5 linked regions of the Rattus norvegicus genome follow. The main gene of each other region encodes a partner of the protein of the gene in region 5 in a complex. Links are inferred from orthologs where the notes say so. Each region holds a gene or a part of one and is shown on either strand. Other genes may lie near its edges. The genes, in order: Cul3, Kbtbd4, Klhl22, Dyrk2 and Rbx1.

What was found.
Region 1: Rbx1 (region 5) and Cul3 share a complex: the UniProt entries of both Homo sapiens proteins name them as parts of the BCR(ARMC5) E3 ubiquitin ligase complex. The link is inferred for Rattus norvegicus from reciprocal best matches to the Homo sapiens genes RBX1 and CUL3.
Region 2: Rbx1 (region 5) and Kbtbd4 share a complex: the UniProt entries of both Homo sapiens proteins name them as parts of the BCR(KBTBD4) E3 ubiquitin ligase complex. The link is inferred for Rattus norvegicus from reciprocal best matches to the Homo sapiens genes RBX1 and KBTBD4.
Region 3: Rbx1 (region 5) and Klhl22 share a complex: the UniProt entries of both Homo sapiens proteins name them as parts of the BCR(KLHL22) E3 ubiquitin ligase complex. The link is inferred for Rattus norvegicus from reciprocal best matches to the Homo sapiens genes RBX1 and KLHL22.
Region 4: Rbx1 (region 5) and Dyrk2 share a complex: the UniProt entries of both Homo sapiens proteins name them as parts of the E3 ligase complex. The link is inferred for Rattus norvegicus from reciprocal best matches to the Homo sapiens genes RBX1 and DYRK2.

What each region holds. Positions count from the first base shown.
Region 1 is NC_086027.1:89,055,922-89,059,432, reverse strand, and holds part of Cul3 (cullin-3), read left to right. Parts: intron 1-261; coding exon 262-438; intron 439-1,507; coding exon 1,508-1,678; intron 1,679-2,129; coding exon 2,130-2,237; intron 2,238-3,511. UniProt on the Homo sapiens protein: Core component of multiple cullin-RING-based BCR (BTB-CUL3-RBX1) E3 ubiquitin-protein ligase complexes which mediate the ubiquitination and subsequent proteasomal degradation of target proteins.
Region 2 is NC_086021.1:97,338,155-97,342,402, forward strand, and holds the start of Kbtbd4 (kelch repeat and BTB domain-containing protein 4), read left to right. Parts: upstream 1-1,441; 5' UTR 1,442-1,466; coding exon of another isoform or gene 1,467-1,485; 5' UTR 1,486-1,583; intron 1,584-1,643; exon of another isoform or gene 1,644-1,751; coding exon of another isoform or gene 1,752-1,827; intron 1,828-2,374; coding exon of another isoform or gene 2,375-2,403; coding exon 2,404-2,992; intron 2,993-4,248. Other genes in the region: Ndufs3 (NADH dehydrogenase [ubiquinone] iron-sulfur protein 3, mitochondrial), read right to left, coding at 1,078-1,146, 1,257-1,320. UniProt on the Homo sapiens protein: Substrate-specific adapter of a BCR (BTB-CUL3-RBX1) E3 ubiquitin ligase complex which targets CoREST corepressor complex components RCOR1, KDM1A/LSD1 and HDAC2 for proteasomal degradation.
Region 3 is NC_086029.1:96,698,008-96,701,518, reverse strand, and holds part of Klhl22 (kelch-like protein 22), read left to right. Parts: intron 1-1,806; coding exon 1,807-2,040; intron 2,041-3,511. UniProt on the Homo sapiens protein: Substrate-specific adapter of a BCR (BTB-CUL3-RBX1) E3 ubiquitin ligase complex required for chromosome alignment and localization of PLK1 at kinetochores.
Region 4 is NC_086025.1:56,245,851-56,249,893, forward strand, and holds the start of Dyrk2 (dual specificity tyrosine-phosphorylation-regulated kinase 2), read right to left. Parts: upstream 2,811-4,043; 5' UTR 2,409-2,810; coding exon 2,360-2,408; intron 1,939-2,359; coding exon 1,790-1,938; intron 1-1,789. UniProt on the Homo sapiens protein: Serine/threonine-protein kinase involved in the regulation of the mitotic cell cycle, cell proliferation, apoptosis, organization of the cytoskeleton and neurite outgrowth. Functions in part via its role in ubiquitin-dependent proteasomal protein degradation.
Region 5 is NC_086025.1:114,869,568-114,873,780, forward strand, and holds the start of Rbx1 (E3 ubiquitin-protein ligase RBX1), read left to right. Parts: upstream 1-1,411; 5' UTR 1,412-1,416; coding exon 1,417-1,494; intron 1,495-3,971; coding exon 3,972-4,050; intron 4,051-4,213. UniProt on the Homo sapiens protein: E3 ubiquitin ligase component of multiple cullin-RING-based E3 ubiquitin-protein ligase (CRLs) complexes which mediate the ubiquitination and subsequent proteasomal degradation of target proteins, including proteins involved in cell cycle progression, signal transduction, transcription and transcription-coupled nucleotide excision repair.

The sequences.
Region 1 (3,511 bases), on a different chromosome or scaffold from region 5:
GGTTTCAGGGATCCAAAAAGTACATTTACCTGCTGAGCCATCTCTTGGACCCTGTTGTATTCCTGATATATTATACATGCGAAAGATAGAACATTCCATTACTAACACTTGAGCATATATACAGATTGGAAAATAATAATAGTCTGTAAAATTATCTCCAGACACATAATTACCAACAATGTTAGGGTAAGGCTAGATCATAAGTATTTTATTTACAAGAACATTTTTATAATGTTTTCCAAATTTGTTTTTATTTGGAAGGGCTTATTGGATCTGAAGAGTAGGTTTGATCGCTTCCTTCAAGAATCCTTCAATAATGACCGACTCTTTAAACAGACTATTGCTGGGGACTTTGAGTATTTCTTAAACCTCAACTCCAGGTCTCCTGAATACCTCTCATTATTTATTGATGATAAGCTGAAAAAGGGAGTCAAAGGGGTAAGTAGTAATGCATCTAAAGTGCAGTAGATTTTCCTCAGCAATTTAAAGTTCGGAAATGAATGTAAGGTATTTTACAGATAAAAATGTAAAAAGAGGGCAGGCCTCTTTGCTGCACTTATGTGCAGGTCTTGAGACACTCCTTTTAAACGTCTTAGATATGCTTAAAGATTGCTTGACATTTCACATATTCATTCTTATATAATTGTCATTTTAAAAAATACCCCCAAAAGAAAAAGCACAAACATCACACCTACAGGTTTTAAAATGATTGCCTTTATAGCTGAAAATTAGTGAGAGGAATGACAAATTGGAGAACTCGCTGGCAGTTACAGATTGTCACTGTTTTTATCTGGTTCTGGGTATAGAACATCAAGAAGGGCTTGGTTTTGAGGAATGGAAAAGGTGTACTGAATTCTGAAATAACTTTTGAAAGTTCTACACACTGAAGCTCAATTTTTAGTTTTATCTCTGGGACCTTGGGAGCTCACTTAGAACCGTAGAAAAATCAAAATAAGCTATTTTGATTGTGTGTGGTCTTTTAAAACCTCAACTTAGAGATTTCGAGACAGGAGAAAAGCAGCAAAAGGCTGCAGGTTACAGAGGCAGCTGAGTGAGAAACAAATCACTGACTGCCAAGCAATAATGTCTAGTTTAATCTCTCATTTCTAAAATCACAAGCATACTACAGTCTTCTATGCTATTTTCTTTCCTTTATTTAAAAGATGAAGTAAAGACTGTATTCTTTGGATTTAACAAAAACCCATTTGTTTGTCAGTTTTGAGTTTTTTAATGAATTTAAAAACAAAACAAAACTCTTGGGGCTATGCAAGTTCCTGCAGAAAGTTTTACTCTTTCCCTCGTCAATCAATTTATCTGTTTTTGGTTATCCTTTACTTAGCTCAGTCCTGTAGTAGTGACTGTCCCATATGAGTGGCAGCACTCCATTCTTTCAGTGCAGTAGAGAGGACAACAGTGTGTGGAGTAGGGCACAGTCCCAGATCACATTCATTCCCTTAACCAATTATTGTGGTTTTAAAACGGAACTATCTTTTGATTAATTTTTCAGCTAACAGAACAGGAAGTAGAAACGATATTGGATAAGGCAATGGTCCTTTTTAGGTTTATGCAAGAAAAAGATGTATTTGAACGTTACTATAAACAACATCTGGCAAGAAGACTGCTCACAAATAAAAGTGTTTCTGATGACTCTGAAAAAAATATGATTTCTAAATTAAAGGTAAGCTTTATTTAAGATGAATGCAGTATTCCCAAATGATGTTGACTCACTATGCTGGTGTTCACCCACACTGTTGTAGCCATTTTGAGCAGGGCATAGGCTTTGTTTCCATGTGTTAAAGGTACAGAGCATCAAAGTTGTGTAGCACTGTCGCATGGACTAGTTTCTAAACTGATCTGTGTCATCGTCACTTGAGATGTCTGTAGGACATTTCAGTATACTCTACTCTCCCTTGAGTATGGTGGAATCTGGAGGAGCCTAGAAATTATGTTTTAAACTAAAATCCTTAAGTTATTTTTAAACATGCTAAGGTTTAGTAGCCACAGACTCAGAGCAACCACTAGAAAGACTTTCAGAAGAATAATTAGAGATGGCAATAACATAAAAGACTTTCTACACTTTCTCACGGGAAAGTTTGCTATTTGTACGTATTTGTGATCTTTTTCCATAGACTGAGTGTGGATGTCAATTCACATCGAAACTGGAAGGAATGTTTAGGGATATGAGCATCTCAAACACAACTATGGATGAGTTCAGGCAACATCTACAGGCAACGGGGGTAAGAATCTGCATTACTTTTTTAAGTTAATTAATTTATTTACTTTATGACCTCAGTTTCAACTCCCTCCTTTCCTCCCAGTCCTCTCCCATCTACTCCTTAGGTGAGCCCTCCCATGACTGTCAACCAGCCTTGGCATATTAAGTTGCAATAAGACTAGGTGCATCTTCTAGATGAGGCAACACAATAGGGGGAAAGGGTCCCAAAGGCTGGCAGCAGAATCAAGGACAGGCCCTGCTCCTGCTGTTAGGCATCCACAGAAAGACTAAGGAAGTTACACAACTGGAACATTTGCAGAGGGCCTAGGTTGGTCAGTCCCATGTAGACTCTTCCAGCAATTCAGTCTATTGAGCCTCTGTGGGCCCAGGTTAGTTGGTTTGTAGGTTTTCTTGTGTCCTTAACCTCTTTGGCTCCTACAACGTCCTGCCCCTCTTCCACAGGATTCCCCAAGCTCCACTTAATGTTTGGCACTGGGTCTGTCTCCATCAGTTTCCATCAGTTGCTGGGTGAAGTCTCTCTGATGACAGTTATGCTAGGCTCCTACTTGCGAGTATAGCAGAATATTATTAATAGTGTCAGGGGTGGGATTCCTCTCATGGCATGTGTCTCAGATGCTGGACCAATCATTGGTTGGGTACTTCCTCAGTTTCTGTTCCATCTTCACCTCTGAACACAAATTGTAGACCAAAAGTTTTTGTGTCTGGATTGTTGTGTACCAAAGATGGCTGGTTCAGGCTCCATATCCTCCTGGGAGTTTTATTGCCCTGTTTCTAGCTTGTCTCAGCAATGTGACCTCCATGCCAGGTGTCTTTCCTAGTACTCCTGTCTTCCTCACCACCTAATCCCTCCTGTTCCCATCCCCTTCCCTGTCTAGCCCCCTCCCCTCTGTCCATCCATGATGTCGATTCTAATTAGTGAGGTTGACAAGTCCCCTGCTTATTACTTACCTTCTTTGGGCCTATGATTGTAACATAGTTATTTTTTACCTTACACTAATGTCTACTTATAAGTGAGTATATTCTTGGTCTAGGTTACCCCACTCAAGATGATCTTTTCTAGTTCCATCCATTTACCTGTAAATTTCTTAACAGCTGAGTAGTATTCCATTAACATTGTGTAAATGTACCACATTTTCTTTATCCATTCTTCAGTTGAGGGACATTAAATTATTTCCACTTTCTGTAAAGCTGCTATGAATATAGTTGAGCAAGTGTCCTGTGGTAGAGTGGGGCATCTTTTGTGTATATACTCAGGAGTGCTGTGGCTGGGTCTTG
Region 2 (4,248 bases), on a different chromosome or scaffold from region 5:
GTACATACACTTTTGTTAATGTAGTGGGTAATCTTTGCTTCTTTTCTACACTGTTCCTCAGCTGTTCCTCACTTCTTGTACTCATGACAACAATGTAACAGTGTCAGCTCTCCTATCAGACTCGGAGCTCTTTAAGGATGGGAACCAGACTTCTGTTTCTTGGTATTTGTTTAGACCAAGTTCTTTGTCAAAGAACTTCAGCGCTGAAGAACCCTGATTCACTCACTGCCCACACTCCATTCCCAGTCACTTTGTGTAATAGATGTCCAGAAATGAAAAAAAGCCAGGTTTTCCATTTACCCGTGTGATTCTGTTGACTGAACATAAAATCACCACATGGTCATTCAAGTACTTGAGCACCCACACATCACAGAATCAAGAATTAAGTATTGGGCTGGAGAGATGGCTCAGTGGTTAAGAGCACTGACTGCTCTTCCAGAGGTCCTGAGTTCAATTCCCAGCAACCACATGGTGGCTCACCTCTTCTGGTGTGTCTGAAGACAGCTACAGTGTACTTATATATAATAAATAAATAAATCTTTAAAAAAAAAGAATTAAGTATTTTCTGCACTTGGAAACAGGCAGACCTGCTTTGTCGTTCACTGGCACTATAACTGAATAATTTAATTATTTTGACCGCTTCATGATTTATACATCTATATGGACAGTAAAATATGATGCATCTCATGGTTCTCATGAAGTCCAAAGGAAACCATTCACTATACGGCTTAAATCTTTAAGGTGTCTAGTAAATACTAAATTGATGTGAGCTACTATTATTCTGGTCTCTGAGTATCAAAAGTTTTGTTACTTGCTGTCAAAGACAATTTAACCAGAGGGAAAAAATAGAAGATTGTGAAAACGAGCAAAGGGCGATCAAGATCAGAAGGGAACAAATATCTAGGGCACAGGAAGTACTCGTTTCTAACAGCAAGGTGGAGACCATAGCAATCTCCAAGGGCAAGCAGAGATTTGCCAGAAGGGAAGGACATTCCAGGGCAAGGACAAACATCTGGCAGAAACAATGGAAGACCCCTGCTAACGTTGAAGAGAAGAGCGCTATCCGCACATACTCACGGCGCTTGTCAGCCGCCGCGCTCTCCCTTCTCACACGCTGCTGCAACAGCACTGAGGGTCGCCCAGCCCCTGCACAGGAAGATAAAAGGCACAAAGGCGCGGGTGAGACCCGAGGAGGTCTATGTGCAAGGTGTGCCTCTGCCGCTGCCCGTGGTCTCGGCCTGCTGTTCTTTGCTCACCCCTGGCTACGGAAGCAGCCCCCAAGAGCCCACGGCACCAGACCCTGGCTGCAGCAGACGCCATGTTCCTTAGGGTGCCGACTAAGTAGCCGGAAAACACACACAGGCCACGGAGCCTCAAGGGCACGGACCGGAAGTGGAAATGTGCAATGAATCTTCTTCCGGGCGGACACGGGGCGGGAAGCAGAGGTTCCGGATCTGAACATTGGCATGAAAGGAGGTAACGCAGGTAAGAAAGACCCGCAGGTGGGGAAACCGTGAGGTTCTACGTAGCCCTATTTTGGTACGGCGGAGGCCGAAGAGAAGAAGACGCAAAGAATCGGACGGGTGAGAGAAAGGGAAAGGGTGGGCGTTCTGGGTTCTAAGTTCTACACCGCTCTCTGGCTCCTGAGCTAAGCTTTTAATGGGGGGCGGGGGTGGGGGAGTCGATGGACGGTTTCCTTGGAGACCGTTTCCTAGGCGACTCTAGGTGGCGCGGTCAGATTGCACAGGGTTATGGACTTCCTTGTGCCCCCGGCCGGGGACGGCTGGGCTCTCTCAGGCTTCTTTAAGAACTCATTGGAGCGAGTAGGTAAGTAAGAAACAGCAGCTTTGGAAAGAGTAAAAGTGGAAGTAATGTATGTCCAAGCCCAGGCCTCAATATCGGAGGGTCTGCATTCTTATGTCCAAGCAAAGAGGGAATCTAACCACAATACCTGGATTTCTTATTTCATTTACTTCCTCTTTTTTTTTTTTTTTTGGTCTAATTATGCTTCTCCTGAGTCTCATTAGTTGTATATCCAAATTATTTGGTTTTGAGATCATAGGCTTCCTCCTTCGTCTTTTACATGGGTTGACCTAAGTCCCAAGTCTTTTGTTACATCATCATCAGGAATATCCGATTTTACCTTAAGGAAAAACAACAGAGTTGGAACTTTAATTGAATTCACAGGAGGAGAGGCCCCACTGCAGGAAAACTGCAGGAATGTCATAGGCCATCTTGGCAGGGCCAGGAATAAGGGCCAGTCTGTACACACTTTGCTCCAATGCCTCCCTTCTCCTTATCCTGAGTTGGACATCTGGATTCATGGACTGTGTCTGTGAATTGCCCAAATACTTAGGGTGGTATTGCTTTGCAGATAGTTGGCAGAAAGAGAAGTTGGCTACCATGGAGTCACCAGAGGAGCCTGGAGCATCCATGGATGAAAACTACTTTGTGAACTATACTTTCAAAGACCGGTCTCACTCAGGCCGAGTGGCTCAGGGCATTATGAAACTGTGTTTAGAGGAGGAGCTCTTTGCTGATGTCACCATTTCAGTGGAAGGCCGAGAGTTTCAGCTCCACCGGCTGGTCCTGTCAGCTCAGAGCTGCTTCTTCCGATCCATGTTCACATCTAACCTGAAGGAAGCTCACAACCGGGTAATTGTGCTGCAAGATGTCAGTGAGTCTGTGTTCCAGCTCCTGGTTGATTATATATACCATGGGACTGTGAAACTTCGGGCTGATGAGCTGCAGGAGATTTATGAGGTGTCAGACATGTATCAGCTGACATCTCTCTTTGAGGAATGTTCCCGGTTTTTGGCACGCACAGTCCAAGTGGGAAACTGCCTTCAGGTGATGTGGCTTGCAGATAGGCACAGTGACCCCGAGCTCTACACTGCTGCCAAGCACTGTGCCAAGACCCACCTGGCCCAGCTGCAGAGCACAGAGGAGTTTCTCCACTTGCCCCACCATCTACTCACTGATATCATCTCAGGTAAGTTCAAGGAGGGGCTTAGCACACCCAGCTATGCCAGAGTGATGTTCAGTGGATGTTCCGGTTCGGGAGAACCCCAACTTTATGTAACTAACTGTTGTTTACATTATATTTCCCTTCCTGGTAGGGATTTTTTTTCTTTTCTTTTCTTTTTTTTTTTTTTTTTTTTGGGAGCTGGGGACCGAACCCAGGGCTTGCGCTTGCTAGGCAAGCGCTCTACCACTGAGCTAAATCCCCAACCCGCGCTGGTAGGGATTTTAGAGTGAGGTTGAGTGTTGAGAATCAGTGTAGCTACTGTCAGAGACAGGGTGCTTTACAGTAACTAAAGACTAAAATCTGCATCACTTTTCCACAAAAGGAATCAGTGCCTGATGTTCTCATCTGCCCTGTACCTTGAAAGCCTACAGGACTAATTCTTAAATAAACTGATGAAGATGGTGATGAATCAATATATCTAAAATAGCCACATGTGGTGGCCATGCCTTTAATCCCCAGCACTCAGGACCCAGAGTCAGAGGCAAGCAGATACCGGTGAGTTCCAGTACAGCCTGGTCTACAAAGTGAGTTATAGGACAGCCAGGGCTACACAACAAAACCCTGACTCAAAAAACAAAAAACAAAAAATGTAAAATAAGAAACATTTGGGTAATAATCTTAGGTAACAAGTGAGGTGGCACCGTATTTTAGATGTGAACTCCATAGCCCGATGAGTGACTACTGTGACATATTGTGTCATCGCTTCTCTTAAAAAGCCAGGCAGGGCTAGTGGTATGACTCAGTGGTAGAGTTGGGGTACATGGAACTCTGGGTCTAGTCTGAGCACTGCAGCATGGTAGTCCTGGGGCAATTTCAGATTAACGTCATATTTACGTGTGCATAAGCAGATACATATAATGGTGGTCTAATAAAATGGTTCAGGCCTCTTTTCTGAGACAGTGTCTCTTTATATAGTCCTGCCTGTGTGCATGTAACTCACTATGTAGACCAGGCTGGCCTTAAACTCACAGAAATAAGCCTGCCTCTGCCTCTGCCCTCAAGTGCTAGGATTAGAGGCATGCTCTACTACAGCCAGCTGTGGTTCCCCTTGGACCCCCTTTGAGATTGCCATTGATGAGACTGCAGAGATGGCTTGTTGCTCTTGCAATTGTTATTCTTACAGAGGACCATGGTTCAGTTCCCATCAGGAACGCCATCTTCTGACCATCGTGGATACCAGACATACATGTGGTACACAGCCATGTGCGGACAAAGCATAC
Region 3 (3,511 bases), on a different chromosome or scaffold from region 5:
ATTTAGAGAAACTTTTGGAAGGAAGCAGGGCACCCTTTAATCTAAAAATTATTAATTGGAAATAAAAATTAAGCTCTGCAGCCTACTACGTATGCTGGGAGAAGATGCAGACTCTGTGCCTGCTCTGCTGCTGTGTGTTTGTGCTTCTCCAGCTCACACACAGTAACCAGTCCTATGACGCTACCATGCAGTCTCCAGGACCCTGCAGAGCTCCCTTCTCCTCACACGATCAGAGCCTTCTGTTGGCCATTGGCTTTGAGTCAGTAAGACTTGGAGGAGCCAGTGAGTGCACATATGGTTAGATGGGTAGCCCAGAAGGACAGAGCTGCCAAAGTAGGGGCAGAAAATCGTTGAGCATTGCAGGCTAGTGTCTCCTTATACACACCATCACTGGAGAGGGGGTGTTCTTTGTATAGCTGTCCTTTATGATACAAACTAGGTTAGTTTTAGGATCCCCACCCTCAAGGATAATGAAATCTTAACAGTATTTGTGTAAAGCCTATATATCCAAGCTTCAGAGGGAGAGGCAGGAAGATAAAACGTTCAGGGCCATCCTGGGCTAAGGACTGTGAAGCCAGTCCTTTTCTGAAAGCTAAAAAAAAACCAAGTAGGGGTTGTTGGTATGTTGCTATAGAGTGAGTTCCAAGACAGCTAGAACTACACAGTGAGACTGTCTCAAAAATCACCAAAAGTGGGGTGGGAGCTGAGAGAGGAGGGTTTAGTGTTGGGATGTAATTTATGAGAGAGGGGTGGAGGAAGGAGGGAGAGAGGGAAGGGACGGAGGGACGGACACTGGGAATGTAGACCAGTTGGTAGAGTCTTGGCTAACATGCATGAAACCCTGAGTTCATTCCTCAGCATCAGATAACCCTGGTGTCACACACACACACACACACACACACACACACACACATACACACATACACACACACCCCCCTGTGATGTGCCTAATATTGGGAGATGGAGGAGGGAGATCAGAGGCGCAGGACCATCCTTGGCTGCATAGCAGGTTCTAGGTCACCCTGGGAGTCAGGAGAGTCTGTCTCCAAAAACAGCAGCAACAAAAGTATTAAGAAGAATGCTAGCCTCAGTGGTAGGCCATTTGCAAGTCTGTGTGTTCGGTCATCCTGTATTATAATACATGGTACAGTAGACGTTTATGTAAATTGTTCTATACAGAAGACTGAACCTTCCTTGGCATGTGGTTAGTACAGATCCAGCATATTGATTTGAGTCTGTCTGTCTGTCTGTCTATATTTTTTTCTTTCTTTCTCTTTTTTTTTTTTTTGGATTTGAGTATTTTTTATCCTAGTTTTAGTTGAACACATGGATATGGAGAGCCAATCACATTTGATGCCTTGTTTCAGTCTTTTCTTCCCTACAGCCTACTTCCTGTGTGTGGGAACTATCTGCAGACAGATAGCTGGTAGAAAGTTGAAGCCACCAAGAGCAGGTGTGTTTCTCTGGCAACTTGGAAGTGAGCCTTGACTTTCTTGTTCCCTGTCCAGATGTTTCCTTTAGAGGCAAAGAAACACAAAGATTACATTTAGTTTCTGGGTCTGTGGATAACGTGCCCTGTTGGAAAGAGGCTAGGGGTCAACAAGTAGGGCAGTGTATTCAGTGAGAAGCCCATGCCCTCTCCAGCACGGAATGGCAGGCACGTCAGCTGTGGTTGGCCTCGACTGCTGTGTTATCAGGCAGATGCAGAAGGGTGGCCGTAGCCTCAGTAGAGACTACCTGACCAGCTTCCTCACAGCCTTCTTGCCCCTCTTTACCTTTCCTGGTTCTCTTGGTGACTCCAAACAGGTATATGCCCATGCAGGCACCACGCTGCAAGGGAAGATGTACATCACCTGTGGTCGCAGAGGAGAGGACTACCTGAAAGAGACACACTGCTATGACCCAGGAAGCAACACGTGGCACACTCTAGCCGATGGGCCTGTTCGACGCGCCTGGCACGGCATGGCTGCGCTCCTTGACAAGCTGTTTGTGATTGGAGGCAGCAACAATGATGCCGGCTACAGGAGAGATGTGCACCAGGTGAGCAGGGCCCAGGCCACCCACTTGAGAATGAGCAGAAGTCCAGGGAGTTCCCCGGTCCCCTCTGATTCCATGCATGCATAGCTTCCCCACTATGTGTGTCCTTCATGAGAAGGACATGTGCTAGATTCATTGAACCCATACTAACATAGCCTGAGGACTCATAATGTTGCACATTCCATAGGATGCATACATATGCCCTCCATAGGAGTTTCCCTGGTGCCTTTAGTTGTTATGTTTGCATTAAAAAGCCAGTATACCCAAACCCATATTGTAGACCCTACCAGAATAGAGAAGAATGAGAAGAACTCGTACCCTCTACTTGTATTATTGGTTCTCAGTCCGTCCGTGACTTGCTCATAGCTATTCATAGTCAGAGAGCATCCCAAGCCAAGTGTGGTAGTCCATTCCTGTAACTCTAGCACTCAAAGTCTGAGGCTGGAGGATTGCAAATTTGAGACTAGACTAGGCTACGCAGTGAAATGAAATTAAACAGAATATGCTTTTCTCACCAGCATTTGTCCCTACCTTCCTCCAATTTAACATTTTGCTTCCCCCACTCCACCCCACCCCCACCTGCACGTACACGTGAATTAGAGAAGCTTTCTACTACAGAGTTAATCTACAAATGTCTTTTTACTTTTTATTTGGAGGTGGGGCTTCAGTAAGTTGCCCAGGCTGGCCTTGAACTCACTTTGTAGCCTAGTCAGAGTTCTTTAATCTGGCAATCCTTCATGCTCGTTAGCTGGAAATGCAGGTTCGTGCCAGTGGGCCAGCTTCCTAACTCTGCCTGCCCATGCCCCACTCCGTAGCTCAGCAGTGCTTTGTTTAGGGTCTGAGCTTTACTCCCATTACCTTATGAGGGACACTGGCTCTGAAGAGCTCGTCAGGGACTTTGGATTCTTCCAAGTTCAAGAATTTTAGACCAGACCCCAGACCTTTGGTTTGGAAGGACTGAGAGTGGGCCTGGGTCACCTGGATTGACATTTCCTCCCATGGTGAGGGAGTGACCTGGTGTATAATGTCCTCATTGTTTCTACCGCTGATCCCCGAAGCCTAAGTAACTCGAGTCTCTTCCCATAGTCCTAAGGCCAGCAGGTTCATCTTCAAGCAGCAAGGGCGGGTGGCCCGTCTTCCTATCCCTTCTGTATGCCTCTCTCTTTCTTATTTGGCTACTTACATAATTAAAGCTGTTTCTCCATTCATGATAGGATTGTCTGTTTATAAACTTATAATCAGCTGAAAACAGCCTAGCTCAGATGTACATGTAACCAGGCCGCGATCATAGCTAAGTCCATACAGTACTTTTACATAAGCATAGGACCAGTCTGATTCAGCACACATAAAAGCTGAGCACAGTGATACCTGCTTGTGACCCTAGTACTTGGACAGGCACCTGGGGTTTGCTGGCTAACCCCACCCAAATGTGGAGCCCAGGTCTCAGTGACAGATCCTGTCTCCAAAAAAAAAA
Region 4 (4,043 bases), about 59 Mb from region 5:
CGAGCTGTCCACGGACTCCTGACAGCTCAGTTAACTTGTGGAGTCTTCATTCCCATGCAAACATGCACAGGAGCCGGATAAACTCTGTGTTCCTCAACGCCCCTGAGCCGGGAAACCTGTAGAGTCCTACGAACCACATCAAAACACTTGAAACATAAAGCTTCACTTTCAAAACGGAGCGTCCAAGGATGCGGAGCAACTGAAATTTACCCTTCGGTGTATAACAGCCATGTCACACACAGGCCACAGCACAGCACAGGCATCTATGCCGAAATCACCTTCATGCCTTTTCCTTTCCGGTGCCACACAGGCTTTCCACTTGTGGCAGTTTTCCCCTCTCCCAATTTCATGACATATTTCAGTTGCAAAGAAGTTCTGATCAGGCAAAGGCCATCCTTAACAAAACTTGGAAATCGAATGCAAATTGAGTTATTCCTTGTCCAGTTCACAACATGTAACACGATCACACCAACACATGGGGGGGAAATGGACGCTGGGTTTTCCAAACTGTCAGATGATTCTAAACCAGCCAAAACCACAGAAAAGCCAAACCTCCAAAACCAACGATGACTCCTTTCTAGGATGCCCTTGTGGCAGTCACATCCCCACTACCTGCAGGCTCTCTTTCCCAGCGAGATAGTACGACCCAGATGAGTTCATCCCTGTGTAATGAATCCCCAGCTCCTAGCATAGACTCACCGAGAAAAACAGAGAATAACAAAACATGTCTATGAAATTGTCTACCTCTCTTGTACGCCTCCAGCACAGCTAACGTCGGTCTCATCTCCCGTGATAAACAAGTTTCAGTCACAAATGACTCCCCTTCTTCCCCCCAGAGATGCTCCCTGCAGGCCACAAACCATGGGTGGGTACTTTCAAGCAACTTTCACTTAGCCACAAAATCCTACATCCTGCAGGCAACCTCACACAGAAACCATCCTAGGTTGCTCACATTCCCAGAGAGCCTTTGGGAAAGAGATCTTTAAAACCATCACCTGCAAGCGCACACCTCCTTTAGGCTCATGGTCACCATCCAAAGGCCATCGCTAGGGGCTGAGGAAAGGTACAAGCTGAAGTCAGCCCAGCTCCCCAGTCTCTGCAGCCACCAGTCCCAGGCTCCGCACTCCCCAGGGCCTCAAGGGACTGCACAGCCCTTGTCAGGTGCCCTTCCCTTGCCACCTACAAAGCAAAGCCGGCCCTTTCCTTTTGAGTCAATATCCACGCTGAGAATCCTACAGTGGTGGTTGTTTTGTTTTGACTACTGCTGTAGCTCTTATTTTTGTTAATGTTAATTACAATTTCTGCTGTGCTCAAACCTGTAGCTCTCATAAAACATGCTTACACACGCGGGGGACAATTGGCGGGTGCTCCCTGCTGGCTGCAGCCAGGCCTCTGAGGCTCTTTGGGGGATCGATTTTCCGGGCAGGGTAGCCTAGCTGTCCCCTAACACATACGTTTCTATAAATATCCACTACCCCTGGGGTTGGGAATAGATGTTTACCGGCCGGGGAAGGGAGCTCTAGGAAGCACAGATGAAAAAAGGGGGGAGGGGGCGCAAGGAGGAAGTTCCCAGGAAAAGGAGCTCTGGTGTGGGCGAGCTTCAGAGGGAAGCGAGGGGCCCACGCCACGAATCTCTTTTGTGGCAGCAGCTCGGGGCTCGCCCAAGTTACAGAGGGCGGCGTCGAGGACAGGCCCCTGCCAGGGGCGTGGAGATTCGGCCCTCTCTTCCCACAGCAAGAACCCAACAAGCCAGGGGTCTGCCCGGCGCCCTCCCAAAGCCAGGTCTCACCGTGTGGGATGTAGTGGTAGCGTTGCTGGCCCGGAGAGGCGGCAGGGCGATGGGGGAGGGTGGGCCGGTCCCCACTCCGCTTCGGGGAGCCCCCGCGCCGATCCCCGGGGAAGCCTGAAGCTGGCGAACGGCGGTGTCCCCTCCTCGGCCTGGGAGCCACGCGCGGGAGGAGACAAAAGAGGGTCAGGGTGGGGAAAGAGAGCTACCCAGACCCCCGCCCCCGCCCCGGTGGGCAGAGAACCCCCTCTTCCAGGGAGAAGATGGAAGGAGACACCCGGCCCGGGAAAAGCCGGCGGCGTGCGGGAAAGGAGGGGGGTCGGGACGCGGCTCCCCGGCGCGCACCCGCCAGCTGCAAAGTTAAGTTCGCGACCCGGAGGGGAGCAGCGCTGGGCCAGAGCTCCGGAGCCCACGTCGCCGGGCCGGGGGAGGGGAGGGCGGGCCACCGAGAGGGCGCTGCGGCGGGGTCGCGCTCCGGATGCCCCTCGCTCAACCCGCCGGGTTCAGGGATCCCGGGGCACCAACACGCGCAGCCCGCGCCCCGTGCCGCCGACAGGGTCCCGGGGCCCTTACCGGTCGGGTAGGCGGCGGGAGCGGCGGCCGAAGGTTTCCTGGTTAACATGGCCGCGGGAGAGGAACGTGCATGGCAGTGCTGCCCTCGCCGCCGGTCCCGCCGCTACTCCTCGCCGCCGCCGCCGCCGCCGCCGCCTCCTGGTCGCCCCTCACGCGGGTCCCCCGCGCCTCGTCGCTTCCTCTCTCCCGCTACAGCCAGACACACGCAGTCCACTGCATCCCCTCGGCCCGGACCCGCCGCCGCGAGCCCCCCGCTCTCCTCCTCGCCTCCGCCGTCCCCCTCGTCCTCGGGCGGCTGCTGTACCCCCCGGCCCGTGCACATGCCTCGCCCTCCCCTGCCGCACCGCTGGCCTCCCCGACTCCCTCACATCGGGGCCGCGGGGAGCGGGCTGCGGCCGCCGGGACCCACTCGCTCGGGAGCCTCCTCCCGGGCCTGCGCGCGTTCGCGCACACTCGCACACACGCTCGCCCCCGCGGCTCGCGCCCGAGAAGGCCAGCCCCGCCCCCGCTGAGGCCCCGCCCCGGACTCCCCCGGCCCCAGCCACACAGGCTGGCGGCCACCCCACCCCCACCCGCCACCCCGGGAGTCCCACCCTCTCCGATCTTCCGCAGAGCCGTCCTCCGCTCCCAGGAAAACTGCGGCTCGGGCTCGCCCTGCGCCTCCCCTGCGGCCATCTGCCCTCTCCCCGTGTCCCCCTCGCCCCTGCGACGCCCCTCCCTGCCCTACCGCGCAACCTACCGCGGCCGGCCTCCTCCCGAAATTGCTGCAGAGACCCCTCCCTCTCCCATCACGCCCCTAAACACCGCCCCTAATGGCTGCTCCCAGACAATACTGCGGCCCCCCAGCCCCGGCCCCTGTCCCTGTCCCAGTGGCCCAGCCAACCCCTCTCCCCAGTTTTATCATGGAGAGAACTTAGTTGTATGAGGGTCACCTCGGAAAGTCAGGCCCCGAGGAGGGACTGCGGCTGAGCTTGGTGACCCAAGCATGGACGAAGGAAGGGGCTGCCCTTCCACTTCCATCTCGGCCACGCACGCCCTCCCTGATTCACTGACACCGAGTGACCGCTGCCCTCCAGTCTCTAGGACAAGGGGAGGCAGACAGGCGCCTGTGGACCGCAGCTGAGGTAGCAGTTGGCTGTGGGTTGCTAGGCAAAAATAAACATCAGAGACGCCTCCCATTTCCTTACAACTCGAAGCCTTTCCCCAGCGCGGCCACTGAGACAGACACACCTTCCTTTCAGCTCTCTGCTGCACTGGGGCGACACCTCTGATTCCCCACATCCTCGGAGGAAAAGATTCTTTTTTTCTTTCCCTTCCCAGACACGTGGAGAATTTCCCTGCCCTATTCATTCGTGGGCTACAGCCTCTGCTTCCCAGAAAGAACAGCATTTGTTTCTCTGTCGCACACCTATGCTTTGTCGTGCGTGGCACACTTGGGCACCTTTGTCCACTTGAACAGTCAGGTGTGGAGCGAAAGCTCGAAAAATCCCCAGCAGATAGGGAAGAAAGTTGGACCGCGTCCAGGCATGCACTTCCTTCCTGGGAGGTGCCTAGTTTCTGAACTGCTCCTGGAGTCCTGTGTCCATCCCTTATTGCCCTGCTCCTTGTGTCTTCTCCAAGTCCCAGAGTGCTGGCCCCAACTAGAGCAGACTTCAGTCTAGAGGGAGCTACCTCCTGCAGAGTT
Region 5 (4,213 bases):
AACTCATAACCTCTGGAAGAGCAGTTGGGTGCTCTTAACCGCTGAGCCATCTCTCTAGCCCCAATTGCTCAGATTTTAAGGACAGCCTGGGCTACAGAGTGAGGCCCTGTCTCAGAAATAATAATAATAAACAATAATAGTAAAACAAAAATTAAAAGACCAAGTAGCATGCTCAAGATAGTTGTTGAAGAATGGATAACTATGCCCTCAGTATCTTAATTAACTATGGGTTTCTAGCATCCCTTAGGGAGTCTATTGACACATAAATCAATGACGATTTTAGTGTGGGAGGTAGAACTTGGGCCAACACACACACTCCTTGCAGGCTGTAGCAAGTCTTCTTTGTGCAAGTTAAAACTGTGGTGGTGTTTCCGGATGTATTGCCCTGCTCAGCAAGGACATCAACAGCACACTGAATTGCACGCCAGTATTTCTTTCAAGTGGGCATTTCAGATAAAACGTCATTGTTGTCCTGTTGAGGGAACTAGAACACATAAGAAGTTCGAGGGTGATGTATTCTAGTCATACCTCTGCAAATTTAGGAGATAAAACAGTGGAGGGCTGGGCTAAACATGGAAGCATGACAAAAGATACAGGTTCTTAGCTCGGTGGTAATGACCGGTAAGAAAATCAGAATGCCTCACCCAAATTCAAGTTTGGCCACTACAAATGTACTAATTTAACTGTAGCACAAGTAGCAAAACTCGGATGGGAAATGGGGAGAAAGGAGGATGGCATCTCCCAGGCTCCTACGTGTTCTCCGTGTCTTTCTGGTGAGAAGGTGAAGGCAGAGCTGCAGAATGCCTGCTCTGTTTGTTCCTGGGCAGAACATTCAGGCCTCTCTCTCCCTATCAAATAATTTCCCAAACTGAAGTTGAGAACGCAGACCGTGCCCGGGCCTTGGAAAGCCGAGTCACAGGGCCCCCAAGCCGGCCACGGTCAGCAGAAGGCCGTTTTGAACGTTTTGGAGTTTCGGGTTTCCACAGACCAGCCCATGCCCTTTGCACCGCGGCCTTGGGGGCAGCGCTGTGGGTCTGGATCAGGTATAAATTCTGGGGCAGAAGGAGGAAGCAGCCGCCGCCCCAGAAGAAGGAGTCAGGCCACAGGGTTTCCCAGAAGGCGAGCAGTATTCAGACCTCAGGGACATTCCCACCAGTTGGCTCCCTTCGCTCGGCCCCGCCCGGCTCCGCCCGGCCCCGCCCGACCCCGCCTCAATCACTCCAGCCTCCTCCCCAGCTGAGAGCGACGGGGAACCTCCGCCTGCGCCTTTAAGGGGCGTGACCGCAGCCTCCGCCCCTTCTACCCGCACGCGCCAATAAGGGGAGGGGTGCGAGAGGAGGAGCCTGGCGAGAGGGCAGGCGGCGGAAAGTGAGCCGATGCGCAGGCGCAGTGGTCGCACGACAGTGTGTTTCCAAAATGGCGGCGGCGATGGATGTGGATACCCCCAGCGGCACCAACAGCGGCGCGGGCAAGAAGCGCTTTGAAGTTAAAAAGGTTGGGTCTCGCCAGCGCCTTCCTCAAGGAATCTAGGGAGGCGCGGATATGGCTGGCAGGCCCGAGGAAGAGCTAGGCGCGGGGGAAAGGGCTTCATTTCAGGGCGTTCCTGGGACCGGGTACCACTAAAGGAAGCCGGGGGGCGGGCCTAGGGTTGATCGGCATGATGGTGGCCCACTGTCTTGGCCATATTAGTTTCGCTGGGAAAGCTGTGGGTCCAATCGCAGAGCTGCTTACTGAAATACGCGAGGTTAACTTCGGTGCGGGAGCCAAGCGCTTAAGCTGTCACTGAAGTGACTGAGAGTTGGGGGAAGGACAGGGTGGGGTGGGTAGGATGGAGACTCGTGAAGAGACTGCGGCGGGTGGAGGATGGGGCTGTGCGGAGAAACCCGGGAACGTGCGATGACACCGCAGAAGAGCTCTGCCGGTGTTCTTGCTCCGCCCCTTCCTGGATCCTAGAATCTATTGACTCCGAGGGACCTGGTGTGGGCCCTCGATTGTATGGCGGCCTCCATTAGCCTTCTAAACCCACAGTCTCAAGTGTAAAGCTTGGTTCTTCCGAGACGTGTACTAGTTGTCACATAGCTTCTGCCACTCCAATGGTTCTCTAATGCCCGTGTACACTTCTAACACAAAATGGTAATTTAAAAAGTCTGGTGGGCTTTGTTTTAAAAGCAAGCCCAGAACTTGTGCCATTTAAGAAGGCGGAGTACTAATTGTTAATGACCTGGGAACACAAAAAATATGAAACGTCCTTTTGTATTCTATTCCCTTCATAGTTTTCTAGCACTTTAAGAGAAAAGTGCCCGTTCCTACCTAAGATTACATAAATCTGCTCAAAATGAAGATCTTGAAGTGGGGAAGGTGTTTTTGGTTTTTTGTTGGTTTGTTTGGGGTTTTTTTTCCTTTTTGTTTTTGTTTTTTTTTTTTTTGTATGTATTACTTTTGGAAAGAGTCGCTGAGAACACCTCCCCACCCCACTCTTTTTTTGTCATCTCATTGTGGCCACTGCTGCTCAGTTACGGCCTGCAGCCATATGGAAGAATAATAGAAATAATGTCGAATTTACTAGACTCGAATACTTGAATTTGAGAAGTCAAACCAAAGTAGTCCTTGAAAGGGGTGTCCTAGGGGTTGGGGATTTAGCTCAGTGGTAGAGCGCTTGTCTAGCAAGCGCAAGGCCCTGGGTTCGGTCCCCAGCTCCAGAAAAAAAGAAAAAAGAAAAAAAAAAAAGAAAGAAAGGGGTGTCCTGCCCAGTGTAAGTCTTGGATCAATTTACTAGAACTAGCAAAATAATAGTTTGGACATATGAACGTTGGGAACATCAGTTTCCTTGGTAAGAGGACAAGAAAATTGCACTGGATTGACTTGCTTGCAGTGCTGTGAGGTGTAAGTGATGACCTTGTTCTGTGTGCTGACACTGGGTAGGTAACTCACTATCCAGCTTATCCCACGATTATCCCCTTAGCGATTGATCCATTTATTATCGTAGTTCAGTCTGTTCACCTCTCTTCCTCCGAGTCCAAAACTGCGTGGAGAGCAAATACTTAGGCAGATTTTGAGTTCGACCACATCTGTCAGGAACAGCTCCACATTAGTTCAAGTTTGTACTTGAAGCTAAAATGGGTGTTCAAAAAATAGCTCTAATATTCCCACGTCGGTTTGGCTAGCTAAATTATTTTATGCTATAGACCAAAAAAAAAAAAATTGGCGCGGTGGGGCTTGCCTTCCTCTTTCCGCCATCTTGGCGCCTTTGGAAGCCCACTGGGAACAGGACTTCTAAAAAAAACAAGTATGTCTGGAAGGCTGTGGTGCAAGGCCATTTTTGCTGGCTACAAGCCAGGCCTCCTGAACCAAAGAGAGTACACGGCTCTTCTTAAAATTGAAGGCGTTTGGGGTTGGGGATTTAGCTCAGTGGTAGAGCGCTTGCCTAAGAAGCGCAAGGTCCTGGGTTCGGTCCCCAGCTCCGAAAAAAAAAAAAAAATTGAAGGCGTTTATGCCCGAGATGAAACTGAGTTCTACTTAGGCAAGAGGTGTGCTTATGTGTACAAAGCAAAAAACAATACAGTGACTCCTGGAGGCAAACCAAACAAAACCAGAGTGATCTGGGGAAAAGTAACTCGGGCCCATGGAAACAGTGGCGTGGTTCGTGCCAAATTCCAAAGCAACCTTCCTGCAAAGGCCATTGGACACAGAATCCGTGTGATGCTGTACCCATCCCAGATTTAAACTAATGGAGAGTAAATAAATAAAAGTAAAAAAAAAAAAAAATTAAAAGTACCCATGTTCAGGAATGAGGAAGTGTACACGTGGTCTGCTGTTACCCTCTGATGTTGTACAAATAATGCAATCCAAAAATCATTCTTTCTTTGCTAGGCCCTATGGCCAGGGAGTTGGTAACTGAAGCCGCAGCTGAAATCCTAACGAGTCTGTTATGTTACCCAGAAAATGCATTGTTTCCCCTCTTCTCCTTGCAGTGGAATGCAGTAGCCCTCTGGGCCTGGGATATTGTGGTTGATAACTGTGCCATCTGCAGGAACCACATTATGGATCTTTGTAAGTAACTCGGGGCGGGTGGGAAGGCGTTGAGGAAGAGAGAAATGGCGGTCATCCTCGTGTGCCCAATTGTCTTCTTTACCAGTGAATACAAAGCAGGGTCAGAACCCGTAGGTACTTGAGTGTTTGAAGTAGATTGCATGTTGTTATTTTTGGAGACAGG